2 linked regions of the Drosophila melanogaster genome follow. The protein of the gene in region 1 interacts with the protein of each later gene in a biochemical or structural test. Each region holds a gene or a part of one and is shown on either strand. Other genes may lie near its edges.

Region 1 (4,882 bases):
TATATTTATACATTTATTTTAGCGTTTATTTTATCGAAATATTTTTCGGAAGTCTGGGCCTGTCAGCTCTGGGCGGTTTTTGGGCAAATCGATAAAAATGTACAAAACTAATACAAATATGATATAATTTCAAAACATTTTTCAAAAGTGTGGGCGTGGCGGTTTTGGGCGATTTGTGGGAGTTGACGATATGGGTCAACAAACTTGAGCCGCGTCTATGTCTCTAATCTATATGCCTAATCTCAACCTGTTAGCTTATATATTTCCTGAGATTTCGACGTTAATACGGACGGATAGGGCTAGATCGACTCGGCTAGTGGCCCTGACCAAGAATACAGATACTTTATGTAGGCGCTTCCTTCTGACATTCTATTTTACACATTGATAAAGATATTGAAATTAAAAAAACATCAAACAAAATGTAGGCTTTAGAGTAGACGTGGCTAAATTATTGTTTAGCATATCGATAGAGACTCTACTAGTAAGTAGGTACGCAAGAAAAATCAAATATCATGAGTGCAAAATTTAATGGTTATATGCATTTGTTGCAGCCCAGACACTACGCTAAATAATATAAATTAAGGTATTTTCACACATTCCAGGAAAATCAGATTCGTCACCTTTACAATGCGCCATGAAATTTTTGGCACACGCAATAGGAATGACAAAAAGGCGATTCAAGAATATGCCCCTTTGAAGAAGCCCAGCACACTGGATGCCGGCACTACAATAATGGAAATTGTGGTGGAAGGGGAAATAGATTCGTTGATGCGTGTGACTTCAAAAATCCAAAAAACGTGTCGGACAGGATGTTGAGAGCAAGTAAGCTCAGTGGTGGCTTTTTGGGGTGGTTTAGGTTTTGAATGCTGTTACTTGGGGGTTTAATTTCTGTAAATAATAGATATCGAAAATGTAAATACAAGCAGAAGTAGCAGAACAGACAATTTATGTATTTACATATTTAATATTTTGTATAGATATACAACAAAAAATTTACAAATACTAAATACTCTTTAAAGTTAACAATACAAACTTCATCTCAAGCCCAAGTCACGCAGATCACGCTACAGGTAAGGCAAGGCATTTTGAACTCCTGATACTGTTTGACCTTCCTGAATACGTTTTTATTGCTGTTCAATTTTAAATTTAAATTAAAACTAATAAAATGCACTCATAGTTTTTATATGTGAATGTATTTTTGTATATTAACACAACCGACATCAGAAATATAATAATACTTAACGTAAAGATGGGGAATTGATACAGGGCAATAAATAACTAGTCGTTCTATACTTTTTTAAAACAAAGGTATGGCAAACGATTAGATTGTATGTTATTCAGAATGATCAGATTCTTAAACTTTTGGATACATGGTTATATAATCAAATATTTTAGGGATTAAGTGCATTAAACATGATAAAATATCATCACAACCAAACATATGCATACAATGATGAATAAGACTTACACATATACACAACCATCTATGTTTATATAAATTCAGTTTTATTTTCCAGCGTTATTATCGCTGAATCCATAATGTTAAAGTTGCCCACGATATATTTAACAACCAACCAAAACTTCAAAAAGATTTTCAAGCGGATAGGGTACACTTTTCTTTCTTCCATAGCCGTCTCTTTCCTACGCAACTCCTATTTGCCAGATGTGCGCACGATGGATTTTGTTGTAATGCCTCTCTTCCTCATGTCTCTATAGCTATCTCTTTTCACGGCACGGAAAACAGCAACGTTGTTAGCTATCGCTGACTGCAAATGAAAAGAGACAACTAGAGCAACGCCGCCAAAATGGCTGGCCGATGTGTTAGCCGTTGCTCTTGCCAGTGTTTTTTCGCATGAGAGCTCATTAACGTTTCGCTTGGCTAAGTGCGCACCTCGTCACTGAAACCAGTTAGCAAAAGAAATTTTTGTTCAAGCTTAAACCGATACCTACGTCACTATTCGATCATTTTGAATGCAAATTATTCCCAGATTAATAAACTAGGTCGCCATCCGTGGCGCTGCCGCCGGGCTGCGGACCCGTACTTTCGACGGAAAATATCGGGACCATTTTCATAAACGATCTATGATACAGTTTTAAAACACTTTAACGCTTTCCATCGTGCACACTTAAAACAAAACTCATAAAGTGAAAGTTCATATCCTGGCAAGTAAAAAGTGATAAATGTTAAAACGTCTGAAGTGATAGTCTGGAGTTTGATTACCAGGTGAAGAAGATAATATATATGGGATGTACAAAGTTGGCAACGAAGCCCCCCTTCTAACAACAATGAAAAAGGGAGTAATCCTACTTTCTCACTTTCAATAATAAACATACGCACGTCAGCCACCGTCGAAGTCTCCAACGCCGCATTAAAAATAATTAATTATGATGCTAACAACTGAACACATAATGCATGGGCATCCCCACTCGTCAGTCGGGCAGAGTACTCTATTTGGGTGCTCCACGGCGGGCCATAGCGGAATAAATCAGCTGGGCGGCGTATATGTTAATGGCCGGCCACTGCCCGATTCAACGCGTCAAAAAATTGTCGAATTGGCTCATTCCGGCGCACGTCCTTGTGATATTTCAAGAATACTACAAGTGTCCAACGGTTGCGTAAGCAAAATTTTGGGCAGGTGAGGCATTTCGAGTGCATAATGACATTTTCTTAACTAAACAGGAACTACGAAAGTAGCCTCCAACAAACAAACTGCTCAGCTAAAATTTCTGACTTCGGACTTTATTATATAAGCACTGCGTTTAAACCAGGGAGTGATATTAAATTTGGAAAATATGAAAGATTCGATTATTATACCCGTTACTCAAAGAGTCAAAAGGTATATTAGATTTGTTGAAAAGTATGCAACAGGAAGAAGGATGCGTTCCCGACCATATGAAGTATGTATATATTCCGTCTGTCCGTATGAATGTCTCGATCTCAGGAACTATAAAAGCTAGATGGTTGGAATTAGGCATACTGATTGTAGAGATATGGACGTAGCGCAAGTTTGTTGACCCATATTGCCAACACTTTTAAAAAAAGTGTTGATTTTTAATCGTTTTATTGTTTGTCTTCTATCGGTATACCAAAAACACTTTCGCCACACCCCTTCTTACACCAACAAAACGCAAAAAACGGATCCCAGAAAAATAACACAATTTTGCTTTCGTATTTAGTCGTATAGTCGGGGAATTCGACTATAGCATTCTCTCTGTTTTTGGTAAGTTAATGGCCTTACTAACGTTTCAGTAGTTTCTATATGCATAAGATCCGAATGCCTCCTAGTCTATTTCGTATCAACTAACCAATGATCGTAAGACTGCGTATGATTAAAGAGAACTTGCTTAGCATCTGTTTTGCGAGTAGCCAAATTTGTTTGTTGGAAGAACCTCTTTACGGCGTTATTGGTGTCCGTATTGCAAGTGCTGTCCATTGTACAACACTAACAAATACATTTCTCCCCTGGCTTCTAATTAATACTTATGTTATTTTGTTTAGCATATATTCTATATTCAATCCTATATGCCATTCGCAAAATATTTATATACCGGCTGCATTTAACTAATTTAATGTCTACAACTGAAAGTGTTGACTGTTGACGCTGAGGTTTGCTTATAGTTTTTATTATCTCGACGCTAAACATTTCGACGGCGTTTAGCATTGTCACCACTAATGAATCGCTGCGCTTTTCTTTTTACAAGTTGCAGCTCGCATTTACAAGCACTGCACTCCGAATTGTTTTTTTGTGCTCATCTAACATTTTGGAAAGAGGATTTTTCAATCAATACTAGAGGAATGTCCTTTTTTACTTTACTATAAGCACTGCTCTTCCCGAGAATATTTACGGCTTTCGACTACTAAGTTACATAATTGGAACTAATCAGATATTAGCAGTTCTATTATAAATACTTTAGAGTAAGAAAATCAATGATTTTCGTAATATGAAAATTTGAAATCAGGCCCCCATCCCAATCTCTCATTGTGTGACTCTGATTATTGAAACACATTCACCATTTATGATCATAATACATAAAAATCAAAATCATATCTTAAGAAGAACGTATTTTTAAATTCTCTGTTCTTTGCAAAATAAGAAAATATACAGCCAAATCTAAATTGATTGTATATTCATTGTTTATTCTATTATCTACTTTTAATGACTACTCAGATAAAATGTAAATAAGTTTATTTTTTTTAGATATTATGAAACTGGATCGATAAAACCTCGAGCTATAGGTGGTTCAAAGCCACGAGTAGCTACAACCCCGGTTGTGCAAAAAATTGCAGATTACAAACGGGAATGTCCCAGCATATTTGCGTGGGAAATACGAGATCGACTGCTATCGGAACAAGTTTGCAATAGTGATAACATTCCAAGTGTAAGTTATATTTTGCGCACATAATAATATTTCTGCACGTGCTAATAAAAGTTCTAACATACCATTTTAAGCGTTTTCGATCCTTAAAAATATATATGTATATTCATGATCAGGATCTAGGACCAGTCCGTACCTCTCTTTCTGTCTTACGTTAAAAATTTTAGAAGTTTAAAGCTGAAAGATTGTTTCAAACTAACTTTCTAATAGAGCCTTATAGCTTTAAGCTATTTATAGTTGTTTTCCTGTTCTCTTAAAAACTCTGATCTGACTAATAAAAGTTCTAACATACCATTTTAAGCGTTTTCGATCCTTAAAAATATATATGTATATTCATGATCAGGATGGATCTAGGACCAGTCTGTACCTCTCTTTCTGTCTTAAGTTAAAAATTTTAGAAGTTTAAAGCTGGAAGATTGTTTCAAACGAATTTTCTAATAGAGCCTTATAGCTTTAAGCTATTTATAGTTGTTTTCCTGTTCTCTTAAAAACTCTGATTAATGAT
Region 2 (4,975 bases), on another chromosome or scaffold:
GCGAATGGGGAGCGCAAACAACAACTGAAATATTTTTATAAGTCGCAATAAGCGAAAAATAAATAAAGCGAAGGAAACACTGAAAATACAGTCGAGCAAAGAGGCGGAGCCGCTCAAAAGCGAAAACTTAGATTGGGAGACAATTGGGGTGGTAATTGCGTCCGCTGGAATTTTCAATGAGCTCGGGGAACAGGGGTGCGGGGGACCTTGTGAGATATCAAACAATAACTCATACTATTCACAGAGCAGATAATGTGAATGAAGCCAGGCAAGTCGAGCAGCGAAAACATCATCGCAAATTTTAAAGGGATTATGGAAGGGAATCTTCTTCAAGCGCCAAGACAGACATGCTCGAGCATGCAAGCGTAATCGCGGATAGCGTGGAAAATCCAAAGATACCAACCGAAGTACAAAACAAAGTCTAAGAATGTCCACAAACCCAAAAAATACAAAACGGCGACAAACCACCATGCGAATTATCGCTTCCTTGCACTCTCACCAACCAAACCAAAAATAAAGAAGAAAAAAGTTGCCATGGCGTCTATTGTGATAATCAACAATAAAAAGGGGAGGCGCTGGGGGAAATCGGGCGATAAGAGTGCCCAGAAGAGGCAGAAATATGGCACGGCAACCAATAATAATAAATATTGCGCCTAGTATTACTAAACAACAGGGCGCATTTGCCCACGGCGCGTGTGTGATAACGATAACTCAAGCAAATTAAGCGATTGTCACAATAATCGATGAGTGCTATCACCACGGGAAGGGGCAATCAACCGGACATATTACCCATGATTCATTCGTGTGGTTGCTGAAGGTGCTTAGCTAAGCAAAAACTTATCCGATAACTTATATTTATCCGAATCCGATTTACACTGAAAACTGCCTGCATAACATAATATATCGAATTCACATGTTATCGACATCGAATTCAAACCTTTTGACACCTATAGGTGGGGATTTCGAAAGCCTAGTCACAAATAAAGCTAGTGCACGTCTGTAGTAACTATTTGGATGGCTAATAAAAAACTCACCTGTTTGACGTTTTCGCTTGCTGGTTGCTGCTGCAGCTACCGATGAAGTCGATGCGGATGTTGCAGGTTGCCTTAGGATATGCTGCTGTTGCTGCTGCTGCAGTTGTTGTTGTTGTTGTTCCTGGTGACGCGTCCCGTCCGTAGTTGCCGTTACCGTTTGATCGCCGTAGAAGGACGTCGCCCTGACTGAAAGTCCCGCTCCTAATCCCGAACAGAATCCGGATCCCCCGCCCCCGGCAACGGCGTAGTCAACGAAATCGGACGCTTTTGGGGGGTAGGACGTTTTCATTGGCGCATGCTATCCCGCTCGACGTGGTCGGCTGTCTCCCTTGCACTCAGTTGGCTTGCATTGGGGTTTTTGGGTTCCGTTCGCCTTTTTCCGGCCGCTTACAAACTTATGTTTACAAACTATGTTTGTACAAAACGTGGCGGCGAGTCACTGGCGAATTTCGAGTGACACCGTTTGAAATTTCACGTGAATTCAATATTTTAAGGCTTTTAAGTAAAATATTTTACGAAGAGGATATATTTACAAGAATATGCTTTTTTCAAGACAAATACAATTTATGCCAAATTAAAAGAGAATCTGCAAGTAGAGGGAGAACACAATAGCCATTAGCATGGTCGAATAAAATCACGTACCAAAAATATCATATCACCACACTCGCACACCTGCCCGGCATTCATACGTTTATATTTTAATTCGCTTTTGAAACTTTCCATTCAAATGTGTTGTCCAAATATTGACAGTGGAGACTAACTAGTGAACTAAATAACTTTATTTTGCTTTAAGTAATTTTGTAATGCCTTGGAAAGGCTTGTACAGCAACTTGGTAACTTTATGTTTCTTGCACGCAGAACTTCCTCATCTAGGCTCTACTGTAATTGTTTTGTTTTTTACTTGATTCCACTTTTAAACTACGCAAAAAGCGGCGTGAAAGAGAGCAAACTATAAAAACAAGACAAACACATTTCGGGTGTCGAAAAATGAAAACCACAAAAGAACGAAAAAAGCAAACAACAATAAAAACATTTGGGAGATACGCACTTGGCCCCGCACACAAACAACACGCACACTAGCGCACTTTTGGCCCACACGGATACACACCACGAAACCCTTTTCTACGCACTTTGCTGAAAATTCTACGAAGCCCCCTAAAATTAAACCTAATTGGCAACTTTCGTTGCCAAACCCAAAAAACAAATCCACAAAAAACAACAACAAATTAAAGCAAACACAAGCCGGTTCCAAAGTTATTAAATGGATTGCTCAGCGAGTGGAAAAGGGAGAGACAGTTTTGCTGAATGGATTTTCGTTCTGCAGCTGGCGAGTAAATGGATCCTACGGATACCCTTGCCTAATGTAAAATCGAAAAACGTAGCTCAAAAGGTTTTGATGGCCATTATCCGCACAATACCGATTAGTAACTTGATAAATTCACAGCTTTCATTACAGAGATGAACAGTGAGAATACATATTTCAGATGGGGCTTTGGGAAACACAATATCCCTTCGACAATTTACACGCACTCTCTAACTAACGTCTAATACGACGGCTCTTAGTTAACTACGTCGCCGAGAAGAGAAGAGGAAGACGGAGAAATCCGAAACCGGGCTAAAACAAGTTTCTGAAAGCGCTTCTTCTTGCCGCTGTTATTGTCCATCATCTCATTTTGGGTGTAGCCAAAATTAATATTTATGCTCGTTGATTTGTTTGCGGGAAAATTGCAAAACATAAAAGGTTTTCTTTCGTAATATTTCACCGCACAGCACCGCACTCGCACACACACTCACACACACACAAGCAGAGTTCACAAACACCTGCCAGCGAGTCCGGTGTTTATTTATGCATCTTAATTTGTTTTGCACCTTTTTCGCAGCAGCTTCGCCAGTCATATGTATATGCAGATATATATCTTGGCTTTCTGTAGCTGCCACTTCCTCGACGGCCGTGGCTGTATCTTCTGTGGCTGCAACGTCCGCTCGCGAAGCCGTTTGTGGAGACTCTGAATCGAAGAATTGAGGCACCGAAACTTTGTTGCCACAGAGCCGAAAAAAGAGAGCGGACACTCGCCGCTCTTCTCGGCTTCGGATTCTTCCAGGCGCCTGCGCAAGCCCGGTCTCCGCTCTTCCACTACCCACTTCCTGCCGCTCCAGAGAAGGGCTCCACCCCTCAAATTGCGACTTTTAGGGCTCTGCCCGGGGGACGAATCGCGAAATTATTTTTGCTTACTTTCTCTGTGGTTGTTGTTTTGGTTTTTCCTTCCCTTGCTACCCTATAATATCCTGGGTATCCTCTGCTTCGACCTTAACGTAAATGTTTAGGGATTTTCACTTACTATACTATACTATATAGTACTGTCTCTAAACTGGTCTTATCTGTACAAATTTATGATCCGGTATGAATAATTCCAGTAAGGGGTAATCCTTCGTCGGATAGCCGATTAAGTGCTTGATTGCTTACGTGGATGTCCCTGTTCGGGCGCCATCCAAAAGTGTGAGGGGCTCCATTTGACACGTAAGGATTTGCGTCGGCAGCAGAAAGCAGAAGGAAGGGGCGGAGAAAGCCAAAAGGGAGGCCAAGAACCGGCAAAGGGGCACCTTGTGAAATAGTTTTTTTTTTTTTTTGTTTTTTGTTGAGGTGGGTCGAGGAGAGGGGGTTGCGATGTGCGAATGGGCCAAAGTGGTTTAGTTGGGCAGCCGCCGGGTAAAAAGAGGCGCTGAGGAAAACTTGCGTCGTGGACAGACTTAATTACACACATATAGAACGAGATGGAAATGGCTGCGTGGATTGAACACATTTTTAGCCGAGCCAAAGAAAAGGTACGGGGGGTACTTTTCCACCAAAGGATCAAAAGAGAGCATATGGTTTCCAGCATGCTGAAAATAAGGAATGGAGAACAATTCTTAGGAAAACCTAGACTTGAAAAGCGCAACCAAACAAAAGGTAACTAAACTGGTGAATTCCCTATTACTCTTATGTAAATAAGCCAGCGCTTCAAAGAATTGCAATTTCCCCCAAGCACAAAAGTAAAGAGAAGGTAAGCCTTAAACATAATATTATATTTTTGTTTATAATTATGGTAGTTAAGCAACATTGTAATGGGCGGTGGCCTTTGTCATTAAATCTGGCATGGACTTTCGGGGTTTATGTAGCGCAGCAGGATGCGAGTTCGACAAGTCTGTGTCCCCGGGGGTTCCCCGCAGAAGACTTGCTTAACTGCAGCTTGAACGGGTTCTGCTTTCGGTGGCGACGTCAGCAGTCAGTCCTCTGGACTGTGCATCCACACCCTTCTTCTTTTCTGCAGCGACAACGCCACAATTCAATCAGCAATATGGTTGGCAGCCTGGGCATCAATTACAGGCCAATAAAGCTGGGTCCCCACTTACCCCCCACCTCCTAATCTCATTTTCCAACAGCTGTTGGGGGCGGAGACCTGTGGGAGGGACAGCTAACATATGGAAGCTTCGGGTTTTCATTTTTTCTCCCTGTAAGCTCTAATTGACAGCTGCCAAAGTGGGCGAGTGGGTTGGGGGAATGAGGGTTGCGCCGGGAAAACCCACAAGCAGTAAGCCTCACCCCTCCCCCTCCAATCAACTCGTTAAAGTTGTGCAACAATTTCCCTTTAAATGATTTACATAGGAAACCCATGAGGGAAGTGTGAAGGAGAGGGGGCACTCTCTCGATCTCTCTCTTTCGGTATCCTTGAATGGAGGAAAAGAGAGAGAGAGAGTGGAGAGAGCAACCGGCGGCGGTTTCTTTGATGAATCGACAAACGCTGATTATGATGACGCAGCGTCACAGGAGGATAAACGAGTGACAGAAGAGAGAGAGAGAGAGAGAGGAGAGAAGAGAAAGATTAGGAGAGAAGGGATAAGGCAGTTATTTCCATTTCCGCCTGCCAGCTATTGTTCCTCTTTTGTTTTGATAAATGCCAAAA

What was found. Proteins that work in one complex are often made in the same cells at the same time.
Region 2: of the proteins of toy (region 1) and Hipk, one has a biochemical effect on the other in vitro, tested with the Drosophila melanogaster proteins (one study listed by BioGRID).

Annotation. Positions count from the first base shown.
Region 1 is NC_004353.4:987,867-992,748, forward strand, and holds the start of toy (twin of eyeless), read left to right. Parts: upstream 1-1,858; 5' UTR 1,859-2,385; coding exon 2,386-2,636; intron 2,637-4,199; coding exon 4,200-4,380; intron 4,381-4,882.
Region 2 is NT_037436.4:544,127-549,101, reverse strand, and holds the start of Hipk (homeodomain interacting protein kinase), read right to left. Parts: upstream 3,044-4,975; 5' UTR 2,904-3,043; intron 1,621-2,903; 5' UTR 1,324-1,620; coding exon 1,035-1,323; intron 1-1,034.